4 linked regions of the Arabidopsis thaliana genome follow. The protein of the gene in region 1 interacts with the protein of each later gene in a biochemical or structural test. Each region holds a gene or a part of one and is shown on either strand. Other genes may lie near its edges. The genes, in order: TCP8, WRKY28, NAC019 and SARD1.

Region 1 (7,354 bases):
ATACTGTTTTATCCACTCAAAGAGGAGTCCAAGAGCTTGACCGGAATAAAAATGCTCAGGATGCTGCCTTCTACTCTGGTGCTAGTTTTCTGAAACAGAAGAGTCGTCAGCGGGATTCTTTGGTGGCAACTGGGGCTTGTCCTTCTTGGTTACCTTTCGCTCGTGAGAACGGTGGCGGAAAAAACTTGGGAGCTTTATATATGTCTCAAGATGCAACAGTAATATCGTCAGAAAGAAAGAACTATGCTGAACCTTTTTCTCATGACCCAAAGATGTTATCTTCTGAGGAAAACAACTCCAATCCTTCGCCTGTGACTTATGAAGCTGACAACACAAAACGAGCCAAACAGTTTGTGATCTCTTTACTCGTTCTTGATTGATGTACCTATTCAAAGCAATATAGAATGATCAGTACTCATTTAGTTTGCTGCTCCCTGCAGGCAATTTGCACAAAGATCACGGGTCCGTAAGCTCCAGTACATATCTGAGCTAGAAAGAAATGTACAGACATTGCAGGTAAGGCTCAAAAAAACTTGCATTCAAAGAGAGAGTAAGTGAAAGATGTAGTAGATTACAATTTGTGCAGCACTGAAGTATGGATTTTATTTTGTGACTATAGGCAGAAGGCTCCAAAGTTTCAGCTGAACTTGATTTTCTCAACCAGAGGAATCTTATTCTGAGTATGGAAAATAAAGCTCTCAAGAAGCGTCTCGAAAGTATAGCTCAGGAGAAGCTTATCAAACAATGTAAGTTTCTCGCAGTTTCTTTTAGGTTCTTAAGGTTCAAACTATAGTCTAGAGTATGAGTTTGTAAGTATTAGCTAGTTATCAAGATTCAACAGTTCTTAAGATTGTATACCTCATGAGTTCTGTCTATTATCCAGTGGAACAAGAAGTGTTGGAAAAGGAGATTGGGAGACTACGAGCGTTGTATCAGCAACAACAACAAACTCAAAAACCATCAGCCAGTCGCGGACGTGCTACTAGCAAAGATCTCGACTCTCAGTTCTCCAGTCTTTCACTGAACACCAAAGATTCCAACTGTAGGCGTGACTCTGTATCTGTGATGGGTCAATTCCACTTTTAGTAAATGTCTCTCTACCCACTGGTTCATTAGAGATCTTAAGGGCCTGGCGACTCAACAAGATCAGACCCTTATCTACCGCCTCACCACAGACGTTTTTAACTCCCCCGTCGTTTCTTTTTTTTTCTTTTCTTATGGTTGACAAGTTAACTCACCAGTGCACCTGGAAATCCTATATTACTTCCAGGAGATGGCTTGCCTGAGGTGGTTTAGTTCGAAGATCAGACACCTGGACTTCATTTATCTGGTGATTGTTGTAGCGACTTGTGTAATATATGGGACGAATATATTCGAACCCGGACTCATCTCTGGAGTTGTACTATGATACCCACTGTTGTATTTTATGTTACTTGTAAAATGGTGCATTCCCTTCGAGTGAATGCTTCATGTAAAGTTGTTGCCATTTTCTGTAGTACTATCCCCAAGCGTCAAAATATTTGATTGCCTCAGATCTGCACTTAATTTATATGCACATTTACAGCTATTTCATTGCTCTTTGTCAAGCCTCTTGAAGGGCCTATATCAACTCAATTGTTATCAGAAAGTAAACTGGTTAGCATTGTTGTCGTTTGGTTTTAGAGGAAACTGAAACGGCTACATTAGAAATGTTTTTGGTAGGCGTGGGCAAAATACCCGAACCCGAAGAACCGAACCGAACCTGACCCTAAAAACCCGATCTGAATTCAAACCCAAAATTTTAAAATACCTAATCAGATCCTAAACTACAAAACCCGAATCCGATCAAGTTTCTGAACATATCTGAAATATATATACATAAAAATAATTTATTAGTAATAATCATATTTACAACAACTATTAAGTGCATAAAATATTAGATTTTGTATATATTTTGGATATTTTACCTACTTTTCGATAGATTCGGATAGAAAATACTCAAGTTTTTTGGAATTTTTTTTGTGTATTTTCAAGTAATTTAAATATATTTTGATACAAAATTTTGAGTTTTGGATATTCCGGATGAACTCGAATCCAAACCAAAAAAACCCGATCTGAATCTGAAATCTTAAAATAACTGAACCGTAAACCCAAAAAGACCCAAATACCCCAACGCCTTACCATATTAAATTAGGAGGAAACCCGTTCATAAATAATTTTTCGGGTTTGGGCCACAACAGACCGGCCCATTTCAACCGGTTCATAAATTCTAAATACTAGAAAATTCCAAATTAGATAAGTTTTTGTCCATCCTTTCTTTGGGATTCTTGACGAGTAACGTTTGATGTCTTTCTTAATTTGGTTGAATGATCAAATTTGTGATCCAAATTCTTACAAACTGATATGTTAATGAATCTATAACCAAAATAACGTCTAAAACAAAAAGCTGTAACGATTTGAAAGTGCATTTTTTCCCAAAACTATATAACTAATTAAAGAATTTAGTGTCATTTATCTAATGGATATACTTTTAACAAAATCTTATAAAACTAAAAATATTTAAGACAAAAGTGAAATGGAGATACGGAGGTGGATTGTAATGAGCTGTCCCCACCTGCAAAAATACGCACGCTTCACTGTCTGAAAGATGCTTATCTCTCTCTTTCTAACTTTCTTAATCCACAAATCTTTTTTAAACCTTTTTTTATTGGTGCTCTAAAATTGGTAAACAATAATGTTGTGATGAAAATAATGTAATTGAAAAATAACATAACTCATATTTGGGTAGAATTTTGATAAAAAAGACTTAAAATAATTGTGAAAAGTTATTTTTCTCCCCTAATTACTTTTTGATTTATATAATAACTAATCAAAAATCAATAAACGTTTTATTTAATGTTAATGACGGCATATATATTATTTATTTTAATAATAATATCCTCTTGCTGGAAAAGTCATCCACCTGCTTTTACATCATCAAACCTTTTTTTCTCTCATCTCTCTCTCTCTCTTCTCGAGACAAAGAAGAAGACAAGAGTCAAACTTGAAGGCGACAATCGGAGCTTCCATGGCCGTTTCTTCCTCTTTCACCAAACCCTAATTTCAATTTCATCTTCTTTTCCCTTCTTTCTCACCGGAAAATGGATCTCTCCGACATCCGAAACAACAACAACGACACCGCCGCCGTCGCCACCGGAGGAGGAGCAAGACAGCTAGTTGACGCATCTCTCTCAATCGTTCCCAGATCTACACCTCCCGAAGACTCAACACTCGCAACAACCTCATCTACGGCAACGGCGACTACAACGAAGCGGTCGACTAAAGACCGTCACACGAAAGTCGACGGAAGAGGACGTCGGATTCGTATGCCGGCGCTATGTGCAGCTAGAGTTTTTCAGTTAACGAGAGAGTTAGGTCATAAATCCGATGGTGAAACTATTGAATGGCTTCTTCAACAAGCTGAGCCAGCTATTGTTGCTGCTACAGGTACAGGAACTATTCCGGCGAACTTCTCTACTTTAAGTGTTTCGTTACGAAGTAGTGGATCGACTCTCTCTGCTCCGCCGTCGAAATCGGTGCCGCTTTACGGTGCTCTTGGATTGACTCATCATCAGTATGATGAACAAGGAGGCGGCGGTGTGTTTGCTGCTCATACGTCGCCGCTTTTAGGGTTTCATCATCAGCTTCAACACCACCAGAACCAGAATCAGAATCAAGATCCGGTGGAAACTATTCCTGAAGGTGAGAATTTCTCTAGGAAACGGTATAGATCGGTTGATTTGTCTAAAGAAAACGATGATCGGAAACAGAACGAGAATAAATCTTTGAAAGAAAGTGAAACGTCGGGTCCTACGGCGGCGCCGATGTGGGCGGTTGCGCCGCCGAGTAGGTCTGGTGCTGGGAACACTTTTTGGATGCTTCCGGTACCGACAACGGCCGGTAATCAAATGGAGAGTAGTAGCAACAATAACACCGCCGCAGGCCACCGTGCTCCTCCTATGTGGCCATTTGTGAACTCTGCTGGAGGAGGAGCGGGAGGTGGAGGCGGAGCAGCGACTCACTTTATGGCGGGAACGGGGTTTAGTTTTCCGATGGATCAGTACAGAGGAAGTCCACTTCAGTTAGGTTCTTTTTTAGCTCAGCCGCAGCCGACTCAGAACTTAGGACTAAGTATGCCGGACTCGAATCTCGGGATGTTAGCCGCTTTGAACTCGGCTTATTCAAGAGGCGGAAACGCAAACGCGAATGCGGAACAAGCGAACAATGCGGTGGAGCATCAAGAGAAGCAGCAACAGAGTGATCATGATGATGATAGTAGAGAGGAGAACTCAAATAGCTCTGAGTGAGTGATGTAAACTAATCTTGTGAAATCATTGAATGTGGTAAGAAATTGATTTAAAGCGTTTGTAGCGGTTTGGTTGATTGTTTTATTGTGAGATTTTGTGTGTTGTTGTTTAGTAGTGTTTAGACAAGAACAATTTATGTGTGAAGGAATTGTTAGGTTTGGGTCCAAATGGACTCTCATGGGTAGAGAATGTTTTCAATGTATAGAAGGAATGATAGTCTTTTCGATTTTTCAGTTTTCATTGTTGAGTTTCTTATATTTTTGTAGGATAAAATTGCATTCAAACCAAAAGAATAAAAATTGCATAATTAATCGCAATTAATAAGTTCCAGTGAAAGAGTTGGTGACAGATCTCACTTCTTTTCTGTATGCTACTTTTGTTTGATTTCTTTTTCGATCGAGCAAGGTCTTCTGCAACTGTTCTTTTTTCTGGCACAAGGATTTTCAAGGCACTAGTATGTATATAATATAAGACACACTGTTCTTTACTTGGAAAAAATTGAGTTTGGATACTTACATGATAGATATTCTAATAACATGCCTAGATGGTTTAAGCAAGCTAGGTTGTATACATCTACTCATTAATGTTTATTTTCAATACTCAGTGTCACTGGGCTTCCGTTCTCTTATTAATTTCAATGGAGTGCTAAAACTAACTTTGGGGAAATAGATAGTTGTTTGGTTCAAATATTTTGTACACATGATATTATTCTAAGACAACATACACGCACTAAGTTAGTTTTCTGTTTTTGTCCTAGTCCGCGCTAACATTTTGGCTTATGTTATAACTTCCTTGGTTACAGTATTCTCCTAATTTGAGCGATAGGTTATAGTGTATATAAACAGGAATCACTGATAGAGAAAGGACGTCGTATATCTTCCCATGCTCACAAATTAGATTATCAATTAACCGAATTAGGCCGAACAAATTGTGGAAATCAATCCTGTAAAAGCTTTATTAAATAATATCTAAATAATACGAAAGCAACAATGAATTTAAAACTTGTAAAAGTTCTTCTTGTTCAGTACTAGCTTCAGCGAAAGTCTCTCAACTCTCAAGGAATGGTGATCAAACTGGGAACATAGACAGAGGATTGAAACTCACATAGCACTTGATCTATCTTAATCTTTTTGCACAAATCTCCCCTCACAATATACACCCAAGCTGCTTTAGGTCTCTTGCTAGGACAACACAGAACAAAGCTCTTCCCATGGATATCATTATCGACAAAGTAACTTGTAGAGATGTAACTAAGTAATATGGGGAAGTCAGGTCTTGAGACTGTCATGAACTTAATCCACACCACATCGTCTCCATCATCCCCGTTACCAATTTGATCCTTTGTCACCCAAATCTCAATCTCCCTTGTTTTTTTGGATTGTTCTAACACTGAAAACCGATCTCCCTTGTAAATCGAGAGGATACGAGTATGTGTAGTACTTTTTTCCCCCTTACACGGTAAAACACAAAAGGTCTTTCGACTCTTTTCTATCTCTTTCGAAAAATCGAGCATTGCGATGAAATACTGACCAGTGTGGGGAGAATTATAAGCTGTCCAGTACAAATTTCCATTCAGGGAGACCCTACCGGAGTCGTCCATTAATTCTGGCTTTTCGTGAAAACGGGTATGATCAGTAACCTTCCACGCATTGGTTGCAAATTCGAAGACTGAATATGTATCAGTAACTTTACCCTGCCAAGAACAACTACTCCTTCCGATAATCTTGTAACTCTTTTCGGGTCTACTACCATCGTAACCAATGGCCTTGCCACATGTATTCTCAGCCTTGGCAATCCATTTAGTCTGTCTCCAAAACAACGGGTTCCAAACAACGCCTCCGCCTCCATTAAGAAAGCTATACATGAAGAAGTTACCATCGCAGATCCCATACAGATGATAACCGCGGCAACTTAAATGATCAAAGCGTAAATCACGCACCTTTATAGTTGGATTTTCGTCTTTGAGATCGACGCTTATCGAATAAATATGTGAATGTGTATTTAACATGATTTCTGGCCGACCGCAAGCAAAGTTTTTGTTGATGAATCTCTTATTCTTGAAAAGAGTGTTCCATTCTCTGCAAACGGATCTGAAGCGAACGAGAGATCGAGGTGGAACTCGAAAGAGTATCTCTTCTTCCAGATCTAATGGAAGCTTTTTCGACACCATTAGGGTTTTCTTTTTTTTGGTTGGAACCATTAGGGTTTTCTTTGAAAATGAAGCAATGGAAGAAAATATATTTACATAGATAGAGTAACAATTATTTCATTTTCGTAATATGTTATATAAAGAATATTTGAGAATAATATATAATTGGCTCGTCTACCAAACGGCCGGCCAATTTAAACCGCAAGGTAAGGTTCCGTTATTTGCTTCCTATATTTGAAGCCCTCTACTCGTGTCTCGTGATTCCTAATAGACATACAATTATAATCCATAACTAATGATGTCATATATATGTTCTTTTAGCGATGAGCTTAATTACTAAATCGAATTTGGTTGTTTAGACTTTAGAGTATATATAAGGAACGATGTGGAATTCTCTTGGGGTTAAGATGCAAATTGCTCGTGTCTTGTAGTATTCACTGTTGATTGTGTAATTAAACAATAAATTTATACTAAAGGATTTAGACAAATTCACTTTTCTCTTAGCTCGCGAATGATCAAAAGAAAAGAACAAGGTTACTTGGGTAAAAAGTTAGGGTTTGCTCTGTAAAGAGTGATCTCTTGTATAAGGTTAAAGATGGTCGTAATGGAGGATAAAACTCCTCTATTTATACAATAAACTGGTCATGTCAAAATATGATAAACTTCTAATTATCTAAGACCTAAATCTTCATTACTTCTATTCTTCATAAAATTATCTTCTCTCGAAATGGAAGTCTTCTCTTTCCGAGGTTCAAGAAGTCGGCTGGGCGATCTCAGCTGTCGAATTAGGTATTTTGGCGAACTCATTACTTAGGCCCATTAACAGGCTAACCGGGGTACCCCGGTTAAATTGAATTCTCGATTTTATTCACATTCTCCC
Region 2 (7,418 bases), on another chromosome or scaffold:
TCTAGGGACTAGGGGGTTTGGCAATTACTTGATTCTCCCGGAAGATCTTTTATAACTTTGCTTCTCTTTCTAACATTCTGGCTTCCTTTTTTGTTTTTGTTAGGTGAATTTGATAACGACCCCGAAAACAAAACCAAAATCATTATCACCGAGATTTCTTTTTATAAGCAAAATAATATGAAAATACTAAAATAAATGTTCCATCTAATACAGATTTGTGTCAAATGGATTTCCCGTATGATTCAATATATGATTTGACTTGGTATATGATCATTTTAATAGTTATCTGTGTAGGCCAAATCATTCTTCAGTCAAAACATGTACATATTTAGTCAAAATCTAGAACATAGAAAGGATTTATGTATATATTTAATATGTTTTCTCAAAGTTGCTATAACATTTTTGCGAATATACCTTAGGTTTGTAAGAATTATATGTCAAACGTAATTTTATGACTATATTGAAAGAATGTTTTCCAAGAACACTCCAATGCAAATTTTACCAGTGATGATAATTGTGAATGTGTCATAACATTTAAAACCTTTAAGAAACGTCTTTAAACTAAAAAAAAAAAAACTACTGTATTTGAAGTGATTTAATACAAATTGAGTATGATAATTGATAATGAAAAGATTCGAGATTGGACATATCAGTTGAATTTCAAAATTTAAGAATAGTTTTCAAATAGGAAACTGAAGTTACATTGGAGCGCGCATGTTGAAATTTCAGAAATCCACATGTTCTATGATCTCATGACTCGTTCATCTCATGATTTCAAGTTTCAGCTAAATTCAATGACTTTGGTATATGACACAAATGCGCTCCCAAATAATAGTATTGCTTATTAATTCAGAAATTTGGTCCTCTTGTTCCTCATAAAATACTTATATATAGAGAATCCACTATTACTTTGTTGCCTATACTTTCATTTGCACAAACACATTTACAAGTTAATATATAAAGAGATCTTTTTCTAAGGTTCTTCTTCGCATCCTTCTCGTTCCTTCAAATTTTTTTTGTAATTCATTCACTCTTTATAAATCTGAGATTTGATATATAATTTTATTATTGTTTAGTATTTTCTTTTTATTTTTCGTTTTTTGAATTAAAACATTGTTTTCAGTTTTGATGGTAGGGGTAATATTATTGGTCCACAGTCTATGTTTCCATGTGTGTGTGGATAAGATAGAAAGCAGAAGCAGTCAAATCTTTTATTCGGGTCCATTCTCTTAGGACACAAGGTTAGATCTCAACTTGTTTTGTTTTTTCTTTACTTGTTCACACACATAGATATTCGTCGTCTACAACTTGAACCTTTTATATCAACACCCTTACATTAAATTTCCGATTCTAATTTCTTCATCACATATGAGCTTGTAACTTTTTTTTGTAATTTTTGATTATTAAGATATAAATCAGTAAGAAGTTGACCATTTGAACTTGTCAATTTAATACTTAAGTTTCCCAAAAGCATATGTATATATTATAATCAACATTTGGGAGATCAATCGTAGGCTCCTAGCTAGAGTTATGTCTTTTTCGCTTCTACATATGATAGTACAAATTACACAGCATAATATCATAATGTAAAAAACTAACCAAAAGAAGAAAATATAATTTCACAAAATGGAAGCGAAAATATGTATCCAACGGTAACACATTAAACATCATCAAATATATAAGCAAGCCCAACTGTCTCATTCTTTCATGAAAAAATATGTACATGCAAATAAGAGAGACAAAATAAGATCTTAAGTTACATATAAGTTTTTTTTTTCTCTACCTCTCTCTCTCAATATATATAATATATGTAGTTATAACAATGATCGATCAAGGCTCTTGCTTAAAGAAAATTGAAGGAAAAATCTCCCTCAAGAGCTCATACTCACCCCCTTGATGATACACTTGGTGAGAACTAGGGTTTGAATTCACACTACCATAACCACTTTGTCCATATCCATAATCCAAAGCCGCCGCCACAGAACCGCCGTTAGTATAAGCTGCCGTCCTAAACATATCATGTGCAAAGCTTCTTGGAGTCATGAGGTCTGCGGAGAACATAGCAGCCGCGGCAGAACTTCCTCGAAGATTAGTCGGAATCGGGTGGTTGTGTTGACCCTCGTAAGTTGTAATCACAACCGTTGGATCTTGGAACGATCTCTCCACTCGTTTCTTCACGTTGCACTTTTGTGTTGTACATCTATAGTAACTCCTATTTTCGTTTCCATTGGCTATTATCAGTTACACTATAATGGTCGCATTTTTCTAAACACAAATTTTCACAAGCCTAGCAATTTCAAAAAATAAAAAGGGAAAGTTTAGTTACCTTGGATAAGGGCTATTTTTTACAGCCTTTTGGCCGTATTTTCTCCATCTATAACCATCTTCAAGATGATCAACTTCACTTTTAGTCATAAACGAGACTCGTGGCTCTCTTTGTTTCTTCACCTCAGTCTTTTTCGTTTTCCCACTGAAAAATAATACACTATAAAATTAATACACATGCTAGACTAAATTCCTAAACGAAGAGATCAAATGATGTTCAATGTTTTGCATAAAAGTTCCTATAGAGTTATGACTTACACTTTTTTGGAAATTTGATCTTCTTCACCGACTAACTCTCGTTTCCTCCGGCTCTTACCGGAATCTTCACCGGGGTGATCAGCCTCACTAGAGGAAGAATTAGAAGGAGAAACCCTAGTTTCAGTCTCGTTGCATGCACCACCATTGATTACGTCATTAGTAACATCACGGTTCGGTTCTTGATCGATCGAAGAATTGAAAACCTCTGAGGAAGAGGGAGAAAGACCAAAAGTTTTCTGAAGTAGAGATTCATACGCTGCTGGAGAACTTTGGAGACAATCGGTGAAGGAATAAGTAGATGGATTAAAACCGTTTTGTGATGGGAGGTTTCCATAAGAAGATGGATTTGAAGTAGGCAGATTCATCATTTCGTGCAACGAAAACGATGAAGGGTATTGGTAGTTGTAGAGATCTCTGGTTTCATTAGACATGGTGAAGAACAATGAAGAGAGAGGTAAAAAAAGAGTAAAGAAGACAAAGAAGAAGAGATGAGATAAGCCTTTTAGGTTTGGGGATTAGGTTTTTAGGTTTTTTTCCTAAGAGGTCTAGATTGGTGCTTGGACTTTAATTTGGTCTTCGTCTCTCGTTCTCGTATTTATGCATTTTGAAACTCAAAAAAGGAAGAGAGAGAAGAATAATATGATTTTGGCTACTTGGTTTGGAAATAAGTTAATTAAGTAAAAGTGTATTGAGATATAATTCAATGGTACGTGTGTGAATCCAAAGTCGTGTTAATACTTTTATTTTTCTATCAACTTTGTTTTTTCTTGTTTCTTAACTAATCTCAATTTAAGTTGTGTAATTTTTTCCTATGCAAATTAATTTATATGTTAAAAGCTTTCATAATATTTCTTCCTCACGTTATTTTATCAGTATAATTTTGAATTCATATACAAAAAGGTTCAAATAAGTCTTTTTAATGTTTATCAGTCAAATGTACATAAAGTTAATTATAAATTAATAATGTGAACGATAAGCAACTTAATAGATAGGTATATATATATATATATATATTCAAGAAATAAGATATAGAAGTAGATGATAATTTTATTTGTGATATCATGTTATGCCTTTTGAATGACTTTTTGGTTTCGGGCAATAAGAACTTTACGTAAAGCTAAGTTGACAAAAATAGAGCTGCAAAACTGGCTTCTAGTGAGGAAACATACTTAAGCTTCTATATTTTTAATTCAGAATATGCTTACTTGCAAGTATTTCTATACCACTAAATACATTTCTTCGAGTCTTTGCATTGTATCTTCGTATAAATTTCCTAAAATTCTACTTTTATTTTTCCACATTTGATAAACATGCATAAATTTTGGGTTATTTTTGTGTGCTGCCTTTTTTATGGGGCCAAAAAGTAGGACATGAAAAGTTCTCACCTTCATTTTCTTCCCCACTCTATACGTGGCATATATAGTGGACGGGCTTGATAACACGCGCTACGACTAAACGGCGCGTGGAAGAAGACGACGTTATTGAAGGAGTCTTAGTCAGCGAAGACTATGTGTTACCGGAAACCGGAAACACTCAGTCACCGGCCGGTCGTTTGGTGTGAAGAATGCAGTAAGAGGCAGTCAAAGATTCAAAGGGAAAAAAGTTTACGAAAACAAAAGATTATATTTTGGGAGTATTAGGCTGCCACGTGGAAACACTTGCACCGGCATTTGACCGTCGCCGACACATGACCTGGCACGTGCTAGAGACTGTCTTCTCTTCTTCTTCTTCTTTTTCCCTCACTGTTTCACGAACCTTAATAATTATTCATAGGTAATTCCTAGTCAAGAAGCAATAATTTAGACCCTACATATTTTGGTTATAAAATATGAATATATGAATCTCTTGATATTCAAATTATTTTCATGTTTTTAGTGTAAGATTTGACCCAAAGAATCATACATTGCTAATAATTTGCTATAACATTCAAAGAAAATTAGTTACTATGGGACTTTAAGTGACGTAGCTATGTGGAGTGGATCGTTACTTATGCTGACGGATAAGTGAGATCATGATTACGCAATAACAATTTCTTTTTCACATTAGAACTTTCTGTTTGCAAGTAAAAGAGCATCTTAATTTATTAACTTATATTAAGGAAAAGATGGTCAAACCAAAAGTATCTATATTATGAAAATGTTAACATTATGATAATTACGATAAACCCTTTATATACAATTTTATTTGCGATAATTGTGGGGAATTAAAGTTGCATGTTATGAACCCTATGCTTGATTTATATAGCTAGTAATCGTTTTCATGAGTTTGTAGAAATTGATAGGAGCATATGATCAGGAAAAAAGGAGACATATAATGCCTAACCGACATGACAAATGCGAAGGGGACATACATCAACTTTAAATGTGGTCAAAGTGATATATTTACTACTATGAAAAATCACTAAAATATGGCAAGATAAAAACAAATACTAGCATCTTGGAAGAAATCGGTTTAATCACTAAAAATTTGATATGTCATGGTCTTTTGGTCACAATCCATTTTTTTGGTAGGTGAAGGATTCAACTCTTTTTTTTTTTTTGGTCACACCTAAGTTTTTGGATTACAAATTATCGTGAATTACGTATGATGATCTTAATGCGTTTAATAATCACTGCTATATTACCTAGCATATTACGGATAGCGCGAGAATACATACATATATATAGTCAGTGTCTCAGTGATACTCAGTATAAAATATTGGAATGAATCAAAATACTATGGCTTTGGTATATAAAAATTTGATCAATGAAAGAAGGGCATAATAATTTCCATGTTTTTAACGCTTTTTGGTCAAAACAAACTACGATGAAAAACGTTTTCGAGAAAATCAATACCAATCTAGTAATCTTTGGTCGAAATAATTAAGAAGACCGAATAATTCTCTTTGAACCAAAAGAGACATTAACCATTCACATTTGACCAAGAACATCAAGGCGTATACATACTTTAATTTGGGAAAGAGAAACAGCAACTCTTATCAGATTCCATATGAGTAATAGAATAATCTCTAAACCAAAAAAAATTCAATCTTCGAAGTCAAATATATATTCAATCTTCTATTGCATACTATAATAATGCCATAATGGTGGTATATGAATCTGTTTCTCGTACCTAACCACATTAATGCATACTAAGATATATATTAATACACATTTATAGTTTTAATTTAGGCAGAAACTAAACGCCGTAATTGGTGCCTAATCGTTTGCGTTGTCTTATCCATAAGCCCCACATTTAAATTACCCAAAGTTAGACCGTGGACCTCTATGTAATTTGTAACCTGTAAGTGAAAAAAAAACATTAGCTTACAATTACACGTATACATAACTGTATCTGTCTGCAGTTGAAATGTCTGACCTATTTTTGGGGATTTGTGCCTAACATATAAAGATATTATTATGAAATTTATTTCTACTTTCTAGTAAACACATAATTATTACATTATTTAAGTTTCAATTTAACGTAAAGAAGAATAAAAAGAAAGAGAGTGAAATTGTTGACTTTAGCTTTGGAATAGAATAGTTGGGGCAGGTTTGTTGTTAGGTTTGTCATGTGTGACATTTTTATCATTATTATTCATGTTAGTATATATAAAATATATATGAATAAAAAGGAATCTCTTGTATTTTCTGTTCTTTCACACACGTTATCCTCTTTCTGAAATTTGAGTTGTTACAGCTGATTAATTTAATATATATGATATTTGTGTATAGATTATCAAGAATAAGAAAATGCATTTAAAAACAAATAACCGAAAAGACTAAATTTTTCATTAATTGGTATTGATATTAGGACATCAATATGTTGAGTAACTATACATGGTCGATTACATTACAATGCGAATTGAAATTCTCTTTAACTGGAAAAGAACTAATATGAAAAAGCTGATGATGTATCAGTAAAACTCTTTTAAAACTGTTGATAAGAAATTCGAATTTACATATTTTAGATTGGAACTTGAAAGTTACAGTTTTATTTGCATACTGGACCAACAAATTTGGATCAAACCTTATCCAACCAAATTTATATACCTTGAGGCTTGAGCCCATATATCTGCAAAAATTACAGGGGGTCATCAAAATCTCATCGTACCAGAGTAAACCGATCACATAACCATTTGGCAACACATCAAACCGGTTAAGATAAAATCCCACAATTCCTCTTCATAATCTTGGGTGAGAAAGGAGAGGATAACTTTTGGTGATGTGAATCAGTGAATCCTGCTTAACCAATTATGCAAGACAAGACCAAAGACATAATATCGGTCCAAACCAGTTTACATAAACTGGAGACTGGACTCCTCATCATCACCATTAGCATCATTAGGATCGTTGATCCGTTGTAATTAGTAACTGTAATTCTAAGCTAAAACAAAAAGTTGCAGAGGATTGATCAATCGCCACTGCCACCTTCCAAGAGATCTAAAAGAGTGATCTTTCCGTTGCTGCATCGGTCGAGTTTGTCAAACTGTTTGGAGATTGGTAGTATGTCCTTATCGGTTATTTTCTCCATCTCCTTCAGTTTGTATATCACATACTCTGCTTTACTGCAAAAACAAAGAAAAAAACCAGAAGATATCTCAGGTTTGAGTGAGTATACAAGCAAAGCATTTCTCTGTGTTAAATCCGAAAATGCGTCTAAGCCTCCCTTTCATGGTCATTCAAACTTTATATCAAGCCGAAAACATACAATGACACGATGCTTTCGCATCACACATTCACAGATCTTCAACTTAGCCTAAGACCACAAACTATGTTCTTGAACAAAAAGATTCATAAGAAGAAGTGCAGAATATGAATTAACTTAGAAATCCAACACCTTCAAGAATCTAATTA
Region 3 (7,050 bases), 1.8 Mb from region 1:
TTATTATATAAGAGATGACCCCTTTTTTTAAATAAAAAAAAAAGAGTTAAGAGAAATCATAAATGGAGTTTATGACAAGGAGTATACAATTTTTTTTATTTCCATCGTAACAGATTAGTAGAGCTCTTTCTGCATGACCCTTTTTAGGCTTTTTGCGCCTAATCTCGCTAACCAATTTTATAACAATACTTATCGTTTTTTATCCATGTGAACAAAAAAAAAATTATAGTGTTTCTCCAAGTCATATTCTGATTTTCTGACGTCTATTATAGTACAATGACGTAGATTAATTTCCGTAGAAATTATGGAATAATTGTTTGACAAAAATAAATAAATTGTGGAATAATTTAACTTAGAATTTTATTAAGAAAAATGTAACAGAAAAAAATAAACATTTAAAAAGTGTGTCCTCGAAATGAATTCTACCAGAAAACAATTAATTTTTTAACACGTACATTGTGACGTCATGCGTATGTATTGAGTATAGCAAGTTACAGTAATTATGTCCAGAGTTAATTAAATATTTTCCGTAAAAAAAAAAAGGCTGGATTCTTGTAGTCGTTTGCTTTTACTAATCGAGCCTTGTTTTAAAGCTTGTTTAGGAAAGTGATTAAGGACCGCTCCTTAATTATCTGCTTTGTCATCTATAATTAGTGAGCTTTTCGAACCACTCGTAGATCACGCATGTGCAAATACCACCAAACAAATAAAAATTTATGTCTCGGTTAAATGTATTTTTATTCTAATCACAAATGTCATTGTTATGATTTAAGATATTGCGTTTGCTTTGAAGTCTAGCCACAATTTATTAATAAATACAAACCCCTCGTGTATTTAAAGCCAAAACCCTTTTTGTGTGTGTTGTTGTTGTTAAATTTATATTTGGAAACATTTTTGTTTGTATTTATGCTTCCTCCATTTCAAATTATAAATCGTGTAAGGATTATTCTTCAGTTTAAAATTTTAGCTAGACATGAAGTCTAGAAAAGAATATTAAGATTATATCTAATTTTTATAGCTAGGTATAACGGAAATTTATATAATATAACCAATAACACATTACAATTCTATAATTATAAAACATGATCCGCTTAAAACCCGACACAAGTTCTATATTTGATTAGTAAATTCACAAAAACTGTATGTACTGTCTTTTTTTATTTGGCGACAATATGTGACTACGAACCTCCACGTTTCTGTATTGAATGTCTTTTTATTCAAATTTATAACTCTTAACCTTAGTTAGATGATTTTTTTTTTAAAGAATGCAATTATATATTCCTTCTTCTGAGTTACACCTTAATTAGAGGTTTTTTTGAGTAATGACCAAATAGATGGAAAATTAATATTTGGGCATTTGGCCCATGGGCCAATCAATACACTAGTTTGCTATTGGAATTTTACATTCCACAAATCTGAGTATCTAAATTTTTAATGGAACTTGTAAATACAAAATAAATACAATTGTTGTGTGTTTTTAATTATGATGCATGTATGTCATGTTATTCGACTAATAGAGAACGAACCAAGTGAAGGTCATGTAGATGTTTGTAAAAAAATCCGTTCATTCGACCATTTTCCGGGTGTCGTTTACCTCTCACATCAACAAAATCAACAAGGTCTAAGGAAAGACAAATATGAGTTTCTCCTCCCGAAGATTTCCCACACTCAAATAATGATATTATCAGTATGAGTGCATGACTCGACGGAAGAAGACTAGTTTATTAGAGGAGAAAAAAACAGAGATAATTAATTTTTGGGCTTTCGTCAAGACGATCCACTTTGTTATTTGGTAAATATCAGAAAATAGACATATCTCAAAGGATGGTCAAAGCTTCTGAAAAGCAGTAATGGTCATGGAGGATACAGAAAAAGGAAGGAGATAGAATTATATTGTATGATCAGCGAACCACATATATTCAGTAACAATGTGGCTAATGTGTACTAGAGATTGTGTTAACGCGCACTCTAAATCAAAATAAGAACATCTCGAATAGTTTAAAACCCTTTTTGAGTATTCTCATCCTCTTTTGAACTAAATGGTTATTTTTGGTACTTTCAATTCTTTATTTCGTTATTTTAATGTTTTGAAAACTCTTTATTAGAGATGTTCTTAAACTTTTACATGATTCATGTCAGAAATTAAATTTAAACTATTAGGTCGGATTTTCCTAGGTACAGTTAAAAAATCGAGTATTCCGTGTTTTACTCTTATCATTCATACCCTAATTGCAAACGCATTTAGTCGACCCACAATAAACATGTGTTTGAAACTTGTACGGTATAAACTGTTTCTCTACAATCTCTTGTCAAGATGGTCAAACAAGCAAGCCCACGTTACACACCTAAGTTCAGCTAACCCAACGCTCCTTTTTCAAATACAGTATATACAGTAAGTCTCTCAATTTGTGGTGTGTTACTATATATTCGTAAACAGAAAAGATTTGTATGTAGGTTTATGATTACATAACGTATGCTTATATTAAAAATGCATGAGATAGTTAAATATATTCTTTTGGATAGCTCAAACAATTAAACTTACATGTATAGCTAGCCACAACTAAACAATATATCAATATGCAATTTCAATCCACTAAATTTATACCAATACAAAGATAACCAAACAGCAACAAAATAAAGTTACGAAATCTATTCGTCAAATTTTCTATGCATGAAAGATTACAAATCTACATCTAAATCTATGAGTCTCCCTCTTAACCCAAAAGAATTGAAATTCAAATACATATAAGATTTGCCACGGGACAAAAATTAACGACTTATTTTTATTGCGTCAGCATTTCATCATCACATAAACCCAAACCCACCAACTTGCCCCGAATACCCAAACGAGTCAACACCATAACCCTTTTGAGCTAACTCGCCCGAGTTATTAAACCCGTGACTGCTCTCGACTTCCTCCTCCGTCTTCAGGTAGCCACAGTTGTACTCGAGATTAGGAACAACATGACTCATTCCGAGTTCCGGTACCGAGTTATTATGCTCAACATTACCGGCAAAACTAGCCCAATCGAAGTTAGAAGTATCCGCAAGACCGTGGAACCCGGTTTTCTGTTCGGTTAAGTCCGGTCTGAGCGACGAGATGCGGTTTGGGTTAGAAAACTGGAAATTTCTGTTGTCGATCTCTTGATGAAACGAATCAAGAACGTCTTCAAAGTGAGAAGAAGACGACGTCGTGGACGAAGTACCGTTGTTGCTGAATTCTCTAGCATTCGCGATTCCATTATCGTAAACTTGTTTTTGTGCACTTGATTGCTTCTTGTATATTCGACATAGAACCCAATCATCCAACTAAAGAAAATTAACAAGAATATTAATTATAGGTCATTCAAAACACTACAAGAAGAAAATATAAGATATAGTATTTATTAATGTTTAGATTTTATTTGTTACCTTAGTGCTTCCGTTTCTACGAGAAGGTTCAATGAGACGATACTCATGCATGATCCAATTGGTTTTAGTACCTTTAGGAGCTTTTCCGATGTAAAACACCAAAGCTTTTTTAATACCAACTCTTTGTCCTTCCGTCGAGATTATTTTATCCGTACCCGTAGCTTTCCAATAACCCGATCCGGCAACCCGGTTAGGTCTTGACCCGTTTGGATATTTTCTATCCCTAGGACTAAAAAAATACCATTCTTTTTCTCCAAATAATGCTTTATCTATAAATCACAAAAGAAGAAAAACCAAGAAAATTATGAATCTCTGTTAAGAAAAATAAACATTTTTTGAGAAGGGTTTCAATTAGTATATACTTACTTGGTAAAACCCATGGATCGAATTTGTAAAGATCTATTTCGGCGATGAGCTGAAGAGAGAAATCGTAACCAGCTGCTTTTCTACAGAGATATTGAACCATAAGCTCTTCATCGGTCGGGTAAAATCGGAAACCCGGTGGTAAACTCAATTGCGTTAACGGGTCAGTTTCTTGGATACCCATATTTTTTTCTTTCTTTCTTATTTTTGACAATAATGTTTGGGTCTCGTGCTACTTATATATGGACGCAGTGTATAGGTGAATCCACCGCCGCTGATTAACGTGTGTACTGAATATGGGACCCATTTTTGTGTTTATCTATAAACACTTTTGAATTCTGACACGTGTGTCAGTTAGATCGTCGTGATTTATGCAATCCCTTGAGTTCATTGAACCTACATGAGTAGATTTAGCTCTTCCTCGTACTATTTTTTTTAAATGGTTTTTTTTATTAACATTTGTTTATTCATCTATTTATCAATAATGTTCCGCTAAATTTAAAAGTATTTTCCAATCAAAATAAGATTCAAATGAATGTTTGGAAATTTGCTGCTTAGACATTTGGAGTTCACATATAATATTTAATTTAATCGAGATTTTTTTCCTAGGATTGTCTATTTAATTATTTAAGTAATGTAAAACAAATTAAAAAAATGATTTTCGATTTTCCTTTTAGGATTTTTTTTTTTTTTTTAAGGATATTTTTTATTTACAAAGTTTATTGTCAATATAGTAACCAGACGACATCTAAACCACAAAACATTATTGACTTTATCTTGGTCGATTTAATCAACATTGAACCGTCCATGTACTTTTTGGTGGTCTATATATTCGTGTAGGGGACTGAATTTCAGAATAAAGGAACAATTATTTGGCCAAATTTGTACCCAAAAAAAAAAAGATTTTTTGGCGAAATGATTGAACAGTAACCATGAAATATGTGAACTGGTAAAGGAAGAGATATTTTATTTCACGTGTTTTTTGTTGACGGGTTTTCTGAAATGTATATGTGCCAAATGTTGTAATAAGAAGGACACGCGTAATGTTGTGGTAGGGTAAGGGAAAGAGCTTCGAAAAAAGCGAAGTTGAAAGGACAAAGGAACTGTTCAATGTATCTTAGGTTACAACATGGAAAGCGTTTTCCATACGGACAAAACTACATCATGACGACACGTGTCCACGTGTCTATCGTAGAAGTTAGGCGCAATTTGTCATTTGTCAAAAAGACGTTATAACGATGGGAGAAGAGAAAAAACACGAGTTGATGTTGACTAAAGATTTTTTCAATTTATTTTTGTTTTCAGAAACATTAACAAACACAACTCGTAGTAGCTGCTTCAAAGCTTCATAGTATCTTTTTTAAAAAAAATATAGGGTAAAAAACTTCATAGTTTCTTTTTTTTTTTTGTGAAAAAAAAACTTCATAGTTTCATCATTTAGTTCCATGGTTTTTAAAAGATAGAACCATATATAATGGTCGCAATTTTTGTTTAATTTAGAAATTGGGTGTTATAGTATAAAAATCCATATTGTTCGCTCGGAATATGCTGTTTTGAGTTGGAAAGTGAAGTATATAATTGACTAATTGAGCATGTTTAGAACACCTAAATTCCACTTATAACCATTAGATCACATAGATACCACGATTTGGATAAAATCCTTGTTGGATAATGTATAAATTAATATTTTTATCTACATTTTTAGTGTCGGTTTCACCAATATGTCTAACTAATTTAAGGACTTAGCAAAATTATTTGTTGAGTTTTATGTAAATCCACCATAGATAAAACATCTTAACCGAAAAATAAGTAATCCACATCAAGTTTGCATATAATATAATCGAAATTGAAATTAGCTATAGACCCTATACATATATTCAGATTTTGTTTTATAAGATCACGTATTGATGTAATTTTTTTTGTCTGTATTTATCCATTGATTAGTTTTCATGCAGTTGTGGTATTTCATAAATGAAAAAAATTTACGAATGAATTTTTCTTGAAATTTATATTATAATATAATCTAACCCTAGAACATTTTACTGAAATCATTAAATTTTTTATGAAAGTTTAAGCATACATATATATGACATTTTTTTTTTTGATGAAGTGAAGTGAGGAAGAGGACATCATTTCAAAAGATTAGACGGAGTCACAGAGACGAGATATCAAATATATCACTATATTATGATCGTTATCTAATTCTATAGTGGAACTTAAAGATTTAGGGTTTCTTTCACTCAATAGTTTTCGTGCTAACAGCCATTTGATGCTACTTTTCTATATTTTGTTTTACCTCTATCTCTCATTTTAAATCAATGATTTATATTTTATCATTTAATCAAATGACAACGAATGGGTAGTCAAAGATTGGTTTTTAATTTGCCTTATCTATAACATTTTCGCTATCCTTTGTTTTGTTTTTCTCCAGTTAATAATTTCTTGGAATTTGAACAAAGTACTTTTGTTTTTACACGTGTGTGTATCCGAAAGTTTAGGTTATCTTACTCGATGACATATATTTGTTAAATGTATTCGTATTTTTTTTTCTTTTATTATTTAAAACTGATCCAGAATTTTTTTCCGTAACATTTAAAATTATCAGCTGAAATTTAAATCCACCATGGTACAAAAAAGTTTACAGAATCTGATTTAGTTAATAAACAAATTAAGCAGAGTTTTGAAAGATAACTTACTTTGGATTGGCTTGACTACTCTCTAGCATTAGTTAGAAAATATTTTAAACTCGAAACAAATAATATAGTGGTCCTTCGAAAAAAAATCTCGTCTCAAAACACTAAAGTACGTTTCTATCAAAGAACTAATATGACTGGTGACTACGTTTATCAGTAAGTAGATGCTAAAAAATTTTAGTTTATTTTTAAATAATAGAAAGTTAAACATTACTTGATAATAATAGTTGAAGACTATTCTCGGAACTTAAAACAAAGAAAAAAGTGAGTGGGATATTCTGGTAATCACTTCCTTAGGAAATGTATCACCAGCTTCTATTTAAAGGTGTGAATGTGAACTTTAAAAAAATATCAAATTCGGTGGAACTGTTCGATTTGATTTGTGTTGAGTTGGTTTTTTTGACTCCCCATACTGCTTGAAGAACAATGTTAAATATGATGGGTTTTTTTTTAAGCCCAAACCCACTTTAGACACATTAAATTTTCACAAGTGAGACTAGATATCGACGCAAAAATACGTTTGCCAACCCCCACAATACAAGCTCTTTTTCTTTTTAAGCCCACGAAACAAGCTCTTGACATT
Region 4 (10,187 bases), 6.2 Mb from region 1:
TTAAATGGATATACAAATTATTTAGTACTTTAGAGATTTTCTAACACTGTGCTTGTTAGAGACTATTTAATCTTTAAGCGTGTGATTGCTTGCTTAATCATGTGTCTTGGGCTTTGTTTATCCTATTCATTATGTGCTAAGTATGAAAACCTTGGTGGCTGATACCACATGGAGAATATGGATTCTAGAAAAGTGTCTGAGTAAACTTAATATATACTGCAGCTTATCTTCTTTTATTCTTTCATGGCCTGATATATGTTTAACATTGTGATCAATGAACTCTAATTGGTCTTGGTTTTGGGCCACAGACTTATGCACTACATTGAAGATTTTGAAAGGAAGCAACTGCCTAGTGAATGGAAACAGATCAGTTTTTGGTCCATGTTGGCTGTAAGTTCTGCCTTTTGAATATAATTAGAAATTTAAGTCATATTTTGTGCTTAGTACAATAGTAATGAAGTAAAATATATAATTATGAAGGTGTTCTCATTACTTTGTTTAAGTGTCAACAAATTCATATACCTTCACTGGGGGTAGCCGAAAGCTGACATCTATTTTGGTTACACGTGGTTTCATAACTTCTCCAAAATGGTGCCTAGGTGTTTTTATGCTTTGTCCGAGCCTTTTAGAAAAAAGTTAATCTCTTTTAGACATATCGAGATCTCCTGCAACCACAAACTCTCGTTTGAGTAACGTGACTCACTCAAAGACATTTTCTTCTATAAATAGAACGAGAGAAACCCACTTTAAACTCCAAACCAAATATCTTCTTCTTCTTTCTATAACTTAGTGAGACAATGAAGGGTTCTTGCACAAAACCAGTGTTTTTCACTTGTACAATCCTTCTCATTTTAATTGTTGCCCAAGAAAACAGAGTCGCTGCAGTAGATCCATGTAATCCTGCGCAGCTGAGTCCATGCTTGGAGACCATAATGAAAGGGTCTGAGCCATCGGATCTGTGTTGCAGCAAGGTGAAGGAGCAACAGCATTGTATCTGCCAGTACTTGAAGAACCCTAACTTCAAATCTTTCCTTAACTCCCCAAACGCCAAAATAATCGCCACTGATTGTCATTGTCCGTATCCGAAATGCTAGTCCCAGTATTTCGTTCTAGTTTTCGATGTTCTGTTTCTTGCTTTCAAGACCAAAAAAGGTGTTCTGTTCTGTTCGCTCATCATCGATGGTTTTTCTACTTCAAGTTTCTTACTTTTGAGTTTGGCTTTCCATTAATGTGTTTGTCGTCAAGGAATAAATCTTGATCATCACATATTCACATTGATATGTTTTTAAGAAATTTCGGATAATTCGACTAACATAAGCTACTTAAAAGTTAAAAGTTCCAATTTCAAGGATATCACTACAAAATAAGTCTCTAAATTTGGATGCAATTTTGTCAATTTTGGCCGAATTAATCATAACAAGGTCTTGAATCCCTTGATTCCGACAAAAAAGAATCCCTTGATTAAAACTAGTTCAGAGACTTCGATTGTATTAAAACCGGCGGATTTTATTTAACCGACCGATTTGATATGAACCAGTAAATATACTCTGAACCGGCCAAAGGTTTATTTTCTTAAAAAAAACAACCCTAGATTTCTAAATTCTAATTGTTGGCCCATTTTCGCCTCTTCTTCTTCGATCACGAGATCGAGAATCGTTTCTCTCAATTATCTCAAGCTCTAAGATCTCACTTCTTCTCTCTCAAACTCGACGCCGTTCGTTTTCTCCGTCGATTAATCGGTTCGTTTTGTTCCTTAACCTTTTTCCGATCTAATGTATCTCTTGATCCGTCGGCAAGTCTCCGATTTCCACTTTAAGGGTTTCCATTCTCTGTACATCCATGGAGATCCGTACAAGAATAGAGTAGATATTCATATGTAAATTGAATCGTTTCCGAAATTGATATTTTTTTGTTCTGGATGATGTTTGGTGGTTTCAGAGTATTATGAATCAGGAAGCAGCTGAAACAGCGAGAGAGTCACTGGAGCTGGTGTTTCGGATGTCGAACATCTTGGAGACAGGTCTTGATCGACATACTTTGTCTGTTCTTATAGCTCTTTGCGATATTGGTCTTAACCCTGAGGCTCTCGCTACTCTCGTCAAGGAGCTTCGTAGGGATTCTGCTACAACAACAACTACGGTTGATTAAGAAGATGCCTAATCAAATAGTATCATTCATGCTTGTTTTCTAAGTTTCAATTTCATTATGCTATTGATGTGTAAATTAGGGTTGGTAAGGTAATTGAATAGAGAGTTTCAGAGACAAATTGGTAATAAGTATTTGAGTCATCCCCACTCAATCCTTTTGAGAGGCTTTCTTTAAGTAAATCACAAAGTTACCCTCATATTCTTGATTTCTTTTTTTAGTCAATACTTTCATCAAGTACGTACATATACAGCGGAATCAATTTTTCTAAAACGTAAAAACGTAAAAATTTGTTGAACGTGAATGGTAAAAACAACGTTTTCATACAACTGTGAAAACGTGAACAAGTGGTATACCATCCAACTAAAAATATAACTCTAAACTTCACACTTTTATGTACAATCATGATCAGCAGATCTAGAATACATGTTTTACCATCATGTACGTAGTAGTAGTTTAAAGTTTAAACCCTTATTTAGAAAGAGTCCAATCTCGGCCAAGGCACTATGGCGTGTCTTCCAATACTAACGTAGATGAGGATTTAGAAAGGGTTTATATGATTTTGAGACGAAGATCCGGTGAAACATATATTGAATTCCGCTGGAGTCGTTATATACCCTTCGTTTACTATCTCCAAATTGTTTGTAGATCTCTCTTGAACATATCCGTTTTGTTGATATGATTTATCGATTTCGATGTTTTGGTAGTGGCTCGCAGCATATTGTTGGTCCAAATCATCACCTATATAATCAAAATTACATTGTTGTAACATACTATATAATCAACGATGTTTCGCAATTATAGAAAAACTGAAATGGTGTTTATGTTGACACTATTTTAAAGTAATACCTTGTGTCAAAAGAGCAGCCTCGTTCGCTGTTCGTTCGCCCACTTCTAAAAAGTTCCCCTTTGAGTAAGCATCTCGAACTAAGTTCTTAACGTAGGGCTGCAACAAAACATTACCATAGATGAATTAAAAAAATAAATACAGTTTCTAACTAATAAACAATCATTGAGCTATCAATAATTGCTTAACTTCTTTAATAGAGAGAAAATGACCATTCAATACCTGGTTGAGGGATTCTTGACTAGAGAGAACATGACCATCGATAAGTGCTTTCATAACTTCGCATATCGGATTCAAAATCATGAAAAAATTCGGTCCTCTAGAAATGTATAACTTATTTCCCAAAATACACTCTCTAGCATGTTTCAATGTTACTTCCCACTTTCTATCAGACATTCCAGGCCCCAGAATCTGTACATCAACAAACCCCTATTCCTATTAGTTCTCTAATAATAATAAAAATTTAGGGGTCAAATAAGCTAAGAATTTAAACCTGACGGAGTTCGTCGACGTCAACGACGGATAGTTTCAAAAAGTCTTGGACAGTGTTGATGTGGCGAGAGGAGAGCTTCTTGTGAAAGGCCCCATCTTTGCCTATCTTCTCTAGCCGCCACACTTCGTCTTCTAACATTGGTGGGTGATGTTTCTTGTACACTTCACCAACCCCAAGTTGTACAAAACAAAACTATTTAGAATTATATCTAGTTTTCTACTATGTATCTTCTTTATATGTATTCGCTTTATGCATGTGTTTGTTGATTGTTATAAGATTCGGAAAATATACAGAGTATTAATTAATACGATATAAGCATTGATTGACCAAAGACTTATAGGCTCTTGTATAAAGTGGGATAGTCGTTTGCATACGGTCCACATCGAAAATACTTTTAGTAGTTTTTTTCTAATTAAGAATTAAAAATTGAATGTGTATATATATTAAGACAAATTAAAGCAAGTATAGTTAATATTTGTAGCCAAAAGCCCAAAACATATCATGACAAGATACAACAATTTTGTAATACCCAAAAAATTTTATATTTCTATACTAGTGTTTAATTAGAAAAACTAAGATTCTTTTTAAGAAGATAAAGCCAAAAGCATCAATATAGATTGATATGTTAATAAATTTGAAAACGAAATTATGCAAATAAATTTTGACGAAAACAAAACATCATTTTAATGGATTTCTGATGCACATGTGTTGTATAAATGATTATCTTAAAGGTTATGTATGATTGATAGTAGGGTAATCCATAAGAAGATGCCAAATGTGGTCAGGTCAAAGATAATTGAAACTAGTGATATGTTACTATCACATCCCCTAGTGGAGTACTGCTTAATGAATATATGCACAAAACTCATTATATATGATGCATAGATTTATTTGTTATATATTCATTAATTTCTAATTAGGTAAAATATTTAGTAATAAAGAAAAATAAACTTACATTCTCCACGATGATCTCTAACAACAATCGCTTCAGTCATCGCTTCACAAACCACAACGCCTTGACCGCTACTCCCTTTCGCAACTTTCGCACCGATTCTAAACTTACGGCTACGAATCCAACTCGAATTGTCTGTGAACACAATTTCTCCGATTGTTGCAACGCCGTTTCTCACCGTCACACTTACTTCTCCGGCAAGTAACGGCCGTTTCCCATCTCTTTCTTTGATGATGTTACTCTCAAACTCATCACTAGTCCATTTATCACCCGAAGGAAAATCTCCGTGAAGAGCAACGATGTCTAGTTTGATTGGACGGTTGAGATTCACCGGCTTGTTTGAGTCATCAACAAGGATAATCTCAAGTGGATTGTTGTCCACGTCACTGATTTTACTCCCTGTAAATATTGGTGTCATTAAGTTCTTACGGAAAATTAGCTTCAGTGTCGGAGTAGTCGCCTCCGGAGCTTCGATACGGAAAGACGATGACCGAGATAATCGAAATCGTTTACTAATTCCATATTCCACTTCTTGTCTTACCTGGTCACGTTACCAAAACGAGTAGAGTTATAAAACACTCTTATCTGTTTTATATTAACAAATAATTTGATATCCTTATTACACAAATTAAACAATACATACTAATAAATTAAATATGTAGGCCAATATATAGATCTTTTAAAAGGTACTAGCATATATGTGTGTGTGTACGTGTGTGGACCATTATTTTGTCTTTTATTTCTAGATATAGTTGATTGAAATGTTAGGTTAGAGAGGTCTTGTTTATTAATAATACTAAAAAGATTTATAACTTTGTAAATATTTAGTACTATCTTAATAACGTATGTGTATATATATGATATAAGAATGCAACTATGCATGTACATGCATATGTTTGTTACCTAAAATGTATATAGTATTAGCAACATGATCGAAATTTTCTTATTTTATCAAGTTCCAATTCGCACACTAGACATCGTCAATGCTAGACTAGTATATTTGTATGTTAAATTACACTTGTTACTTTAAGTATGTGTAGTTGATTAAACATGGTAAGTATGAAATTCTAATTCTCAACTCGTTCATTTGAAATATCCATGTATATATATATATATATATATATCCACTACATTAATTAGAAGTTAGAACAAGTATTTAGAAATAACAAAATAGAAGTGGAATTATTATAGTATACTTACAACTTTTCTAATAACGGGCTCTAGGACAGAACGAAGGGTGTTTTCTGAGATCAATGCTCCAAACACACTGGAAATTGGCCTGCAAGAAACAAAAAATATAACAAAAATTTATCAGAAAAAGGTGAATAGAAAATAAAATCCAAGAGTAGTAAGATCTAAAGGAGATATTATTTTAAGGATAAGAGAGAGAGTGAATAGAACATATACATAAAATACAAGCATATATTTATATTTAGATTTTAAGGATAAGATGTGTAAGAAAAAAAGAGGATTGAACACTGAACATGTTCCAAACAAAACTTAAGATTTGTAGAAATGATTCATCATAAACACAATACAAGAAAAAAAGAATGAAAAGTTTCTGAGAAAAATTACGAGGCAAGGGATGGTAGTACAGATTTAATCCGTTTCTCGGACTTATTTTCTTGGTCAGAATCAAGATCTTGAAATAACCTCTTCCCTGCCATGGAATTGTTCTGGTGAGTTGTGAGAGAAAGAGAGGGAGAGTTAGAGAGAGAGCGCTTAGATCAAAACTAGGTTTTGTAATGTTTTGACATAATCTTATACGGCGATGATATTTATATAGTTTTAGTCTTTAGTCTCACAAAAACCAAAAAAAAATAAAAAAAAATAAAGAAAGTTCGAAGAACGACAAAGGAAACAACCTGGCAATATCCAAAGAAGTCCGAAGTCTGATCCACGCGAATAATCTATTTATGGCGTCATAAATAGGGAGACTTTTGACGTCAACTCCAATTTAGAAAGCTTCCTTTGTTGACAAATGGACGGTTCCGATCTTCCCACCCGATTGGGTTTTAGATCTAACTGCTAGTATAAAGCGTGATCCATATGCCACATGATTACTTCTTGTAGAGAGAGCACTACGAGTATACGATCGATCCGGTCCGTTCTTCGAAGAATTTTTGTTCCTTTCTTTATCTTGTAAGAATATTAACACTATTGATATCATCATATCAACATACTTAATTATGAAAAATTGATTGTCTATATAATTCGGATTCATGTTTGTTCCTCTCTAACCTAATTAGTAAAAATTATGAAAATCAGAGAAAAAGACAGGTTCAGATTTGTTTTCTAAAGTTTATGTCAAAAAGGCAAAGTTTGCAATAACCTGAACTTCTTGGTCTCGTCCGATAAATACGGTGTATGTCTATTTAGCAATCCCTTTTATATAGATACAATTTTATTGAACTATCTTTTCTTTAAGCAAGAAAACAAAAAATTGAACTATATATCTTTTAAGCAAATAAGAAAGAAGGAAAGAAAGTCTTATAATAACCTTTTTTCGGTTTACATCGGTTTCCAAAAATATCCTGATAATTTAATAGCTGTCATTTTAAGTTAAGCAGGAGAACAAAAAACAACAATAGTTTTTATTTAATATAGAAATGTCATGCGTTAAAGGAAACTAAAATTATCCAAGTTCTTATGTGTTAATATAAACTATACTATATAAAGGGTCAAGTGAATGATTTCGACGAAGGTTCATTGAATTGGTTTGTCCTTTTCGGGTAATTTCTTGTCGGGTGAGTTACAAATCTCAATCATCCTCTCAAAACTTGTCGTGCTTTTAGCTTCAATCGACTCTGTTTAGTCTCTGTCGAAAATCTTGCTTTTAATTAACTTTAATAAGTTTTTTTTGTTTTAACTTCAAAATATTTTTGGTAGCATTATAATTGTAATGCTTTGCCTCCATGATAAATTGTATGGTAATTGTCACATAGTCTTTGTCACGATGATATTGATATCTCACATACACAGAATAAGAACCATCTATTCACTTTTTATGGAATCTAAACATTAAAAGCCCATTTCTGAATTGCCATCCACTTTTAGGGGTTGCCAACTCAAGAACGTTTATTTTTTTTTATTTTTGGGTGTGTTAATATGTACCTTTTCATAATAATTTTAGTTTTTCAAAGACTATGATGTGAGTAATCCATTTTATAACTTTGTAAGATATCAAGTTAAAAGATATAGGACTGCCTTTTTTTTCTTGGAAGCAGCCTTTACATTTGCAATTATTTTGTTACTATTGACTAAGCAACATTCTATATATATATGCTGGCTGGAGATTTTAGTTGGAGTTTGAGTCTAATTTTTAAAATGTAATTTAGAACATTAATACAAAATAAAAATGGCCGCGTACGGGACAAAACAGATTTTAGTTTGAGTTTCAGTCTAATTTTTAAAACGTAAGTTAGTACTTCAATACAAAATAAAAGTGGCCGCGTACGGGACAATACAGCCGCGTGAGTATACATTAGCGACTAAATTTTTTAAACAGTTTTTCGACATCAATGGCTTAGTTTATATGAGCTCGAGTCATCTCCAAATCTTATCAATAAACAATCATATTAGTCACGTAAGTGAACAACGAATCACCTAATCAAACAACGAAAAACAAACCGTAAAAACTAATAAGCTGTCAAATCATATATTTTGGTAACTCTATATATTTACAAAATAAAATTTATTTAGAAAACATGAAAGTCTTATCCACCTATAAAAACCCACCATGAGGACTTTCATATGAAATAGTGACGCTGACAGTAAGCCGATCTTTAGAGCCGCAAAACGAAATTTCGAAATTTTCATAGCAATCTGACCACTCTCAACGAGCCAATCATATAACTGACATTCTCTAATTAACATCACTTAAATACAGAGCCGTGCAAAAAAATGATGTCATAGGCAAAACAATATGGTTTAATATATAGATAAATTATATATAATAAATATAGTAAAATATATAGTTTAATGTTTTAAAATTTTATTATAAATCTATAAATTTTAAGAAAAACATATAAAAATTCACAGTTCCCAAAAAAGTATTCGTCAAACAATGAGAAAAGTATATTACTATAAAAGAAAAATTATAGAAACTAGGTTGCTCATAATATGCAGTCTAGCAATTTGTGTTTAGTGTTGCAAAAGTATTAAAGATTCCTTGTATTTAGGAATTTTATATATTGCAAGTTATACCACTTTCCTTTATTATTTGTATTAATCTCTCTAACTTTATTAATTCAATAATACATGTATGATAACTAACCACTATTAACAAATATAGCTTCCTAAATTTTCTAGGGTTCAAACTTAAATTTTGTGATGTTGCACAAAGAGAGAACAAAATCTACTGTTCAAAATTAAAACAATGATCTATGTCTATCGGATTCATGTACGAAGATCTATAAAGTCTATCAGATTCATACGAGGTCTTAAAAAAAGGTTTTTCAAAGAGATCTAGGTGACTATATGAAATCATTCATCATAAAATGGCGAGAAAATAGGGAACTATGAGAAGCGTCTTGAAGAAAGATGCAGGGATTTACCGTCGACATGATCGGCGACATTGAAATTGAAATTCTCACTATCAGGGATGAAGAAGATTTTGTTAAAACGGAAATGGGCCTCTCTTAAGAGATCGTAATTAAATACATATGTATATGGATGAAGAAGATTTGTTAAAATGGACTAATTCAATCCTGCTAATGTCACTTCCCATAAATATGTAGAGTAAATTTCATCGGAAAGAAAAGGACAAGACTTGTAACTAAAATTGGGCATTTCAATACAAATGGGCTGAAACGTATTGGTATAGGTAAGAATAATTTGGACAATCAGAAGAAAAAAAAATCTGTGAAAAATGGAGATGTAAATCATGTGGAAAAGTTTTGTAATCACAAATGGGATTTTAAAATCCAAGCACACAAACACGGGTTATTTACCAAACACGAATTGGCTTAGTCGTATGGTTATAACGAAGAAAATTAAAATCCCATAACACTATGAGCAAAATATAACAACTTATCCAAAGTACTACCATCGAACTTCCTAGCGAACAAGTAACATTTCTCGCTCTTCTTCCCATTATACACACACCCTTGTTCTCTATTCCTCACCCTCCGCAGAAACTCCCCTGTCACCGACCGCCTTGTGTACTTCCTCGGATGTGGACCTCTCCGTGACCAATCCGTCCACGTTAGTGACCGGTTCGCATTCTTCCCCGGAAACATGGCGTGGACAAATGTTGACAAGTAATGCTCGTCGGCATAACAATTCCAAAGGCAATATTTCTCGAACACAGGAAAGTAAGTTGTGTCCGATACTACGGCTAAAGCTACCTCACGGTCTATCTCGAACCACTGAGAGCCTTTTCGCCAGTTGGTGCGGCTGATGACTGGTGACATACGGCGGTTGTAGCGGCCGCGACCTGCTGGTCCGGGAAGGTCGTAGACGTCGACGTAGGAGTGTTGCGAGTTTATGAGGTAAGAGTAAATGGTGGAGAAGTTAAAGAGAGGAATGTCCGATTCCGAGAGGAGGACGAAGCGGTGGTTTCCGGCGTCAAGCAGAGCATTTGCCAGTAGCCGTCGCTCAGCCGCCACCATGCTCACCATTCCCCATCCCACTTCCTTCAAAAACACAACGAGATCCTCGTACATGAGTCGTGATATTTTTATTAATTAACAACTTAGTTGATTAATTTAAAATTCATGTCGGTACGTATGTATAATAGACTACTCAAC

Evidence for each region.
Region 2: the proteins of TCP8 (region 1) and WRKY28 form a complex in vitro, tested with the Arabidopsis thaliana proteins (one study listed by BioGRID).
Region 3: the proteins of TCP8 (region 1) and NAC019 form a complex in vitro, tested with the Arabidopsis thaliana proteins (one study listed by BioGRID).
Region 4: the proteins of TCP8 (region 1) and SARD1 form a complex in vitro, tested with the Arabidopsis thaliana proteins (one study listed by BioGRID).

The regions. Positions count from the first base shown.
Region 1 is NC_003070.9:21,509,651-21,517,004, reverse strand, and holds TCP8 (TCP family transcription factor), read left to right. Parts: upstream 1-2,815; 5' UTR 2,816-3,119; coding exon 3,120-4,325; 3' UTR 4,326-4,673; downstream 4,674-7,354. Other genes in the region: AT1G58110 (Basic-leucine zipper (bZIP) transcription factor family protein), read left to right, coding at 1-349, 441-516, 620-746, 884-1,086; AT1G58090 (F-box and associated interaction domains-containing protein), read right to left, coding at 5,380-6,495. UniProt on the Arabidopsis thaliana protein: Can specifically bind site II elements in the promoter region of PP438/PNM1.
Region 2 is NC_003075.7:10,057,104-10,064,521, reverse strand, and holds WRKY28 (WRKY DNA-binding protein 28), read right to left. Parts: upstream 3,309-7,418; 5' UTR 3,015-3,308; coding exon 2,584-3,014; intron 2,471-2,583; coding exon 2,327-2,470; intron 2,213-2,326; coding exon 1,831-2,212; 3' UTR 1,629-1,830; downstream 1-1,628. Other genes in the region: KCO6 (Ca2+ activated outward rectifying K+ channel 6), read right to left, coding at 6,976-7,129. UniProt on the Arabidopsis thaliana protein: Transcription factor. Interacts specifically with the W box (5'-(T)TGAC[CT]-3'), a frequently occurring elicitor-responsive cis-acting element.
Region 3 is NC_003070.9:19,694,487-19,701,536, forward strand, and holds NAC019 (NAC domain containing protein 19), read right to left. Parts: upstream 3,997-7,050; 5' UTR 3,959-3,996; coding exon 3,778-3,958; intron 3,681-3,777; coding exon 3,412-3,680; intron 3,310-3,411; coding exon 2,806-3,309; 3' UTR 2,437-2,805; downstream 1-2,436. UniProt on the Arabidopsis thaliana protein: Transcription factors that bind specifically to the 5'-CATGTG-3' motif.
Region 4 is NC_003070.9:27,743,075-27,753,261, forward strand, and holds SARD1 (Calmodulin binding protein-like protein), read right to left. Parts: upstream 6,175-10,187; 5' UTR 6,105-6,174; coding exon 6,013-6,104; intron 5,717-6,012; coding exon 5,638-5,716; intron 4,979-5,637; coding exon 4,441-4,978; intron 3,647-4,440; coding exon 3,486-3,646; intron 3,404-3,485; coding exon 3,215-3,403; intron 3,092-3,214; coding exon 2,995-3,091; intron 2,887-2,994; coding exon 2,687-2,886; 3' UTR 2,149-2,686; coding exon of another isoform or gene 1,945-2,148; 3' UTR 1,716-1,944; downstream 1-1,715. Other genes in the region: AT1G73780 (Bifunctional inhibitor/lipid-transfer protein/seed storage 2S albumin superfamily protein), read left to right, coding at 798-1,094; GIP2 (mitotic-spindle organizing 1B-like protein (DUF3743)), read left to right, coding at 1,945-2,148; AT1G73810 (Core-2/I-branching beta-1,6-N-acetylglucosaminyltransferase family protein), read right to left, coding at 9,432-10,073. UniProt on the Arabidopsis thaliana protein: Transcription activator that binds DNA in a sequence-specific manner, 5'-GAAATTTTGG-3', to promote the expression of target genes. Recruited to the promoter of ICS1 and other defense-related genes (e.g. PR1 and SID2) in response to both biotic (e.g.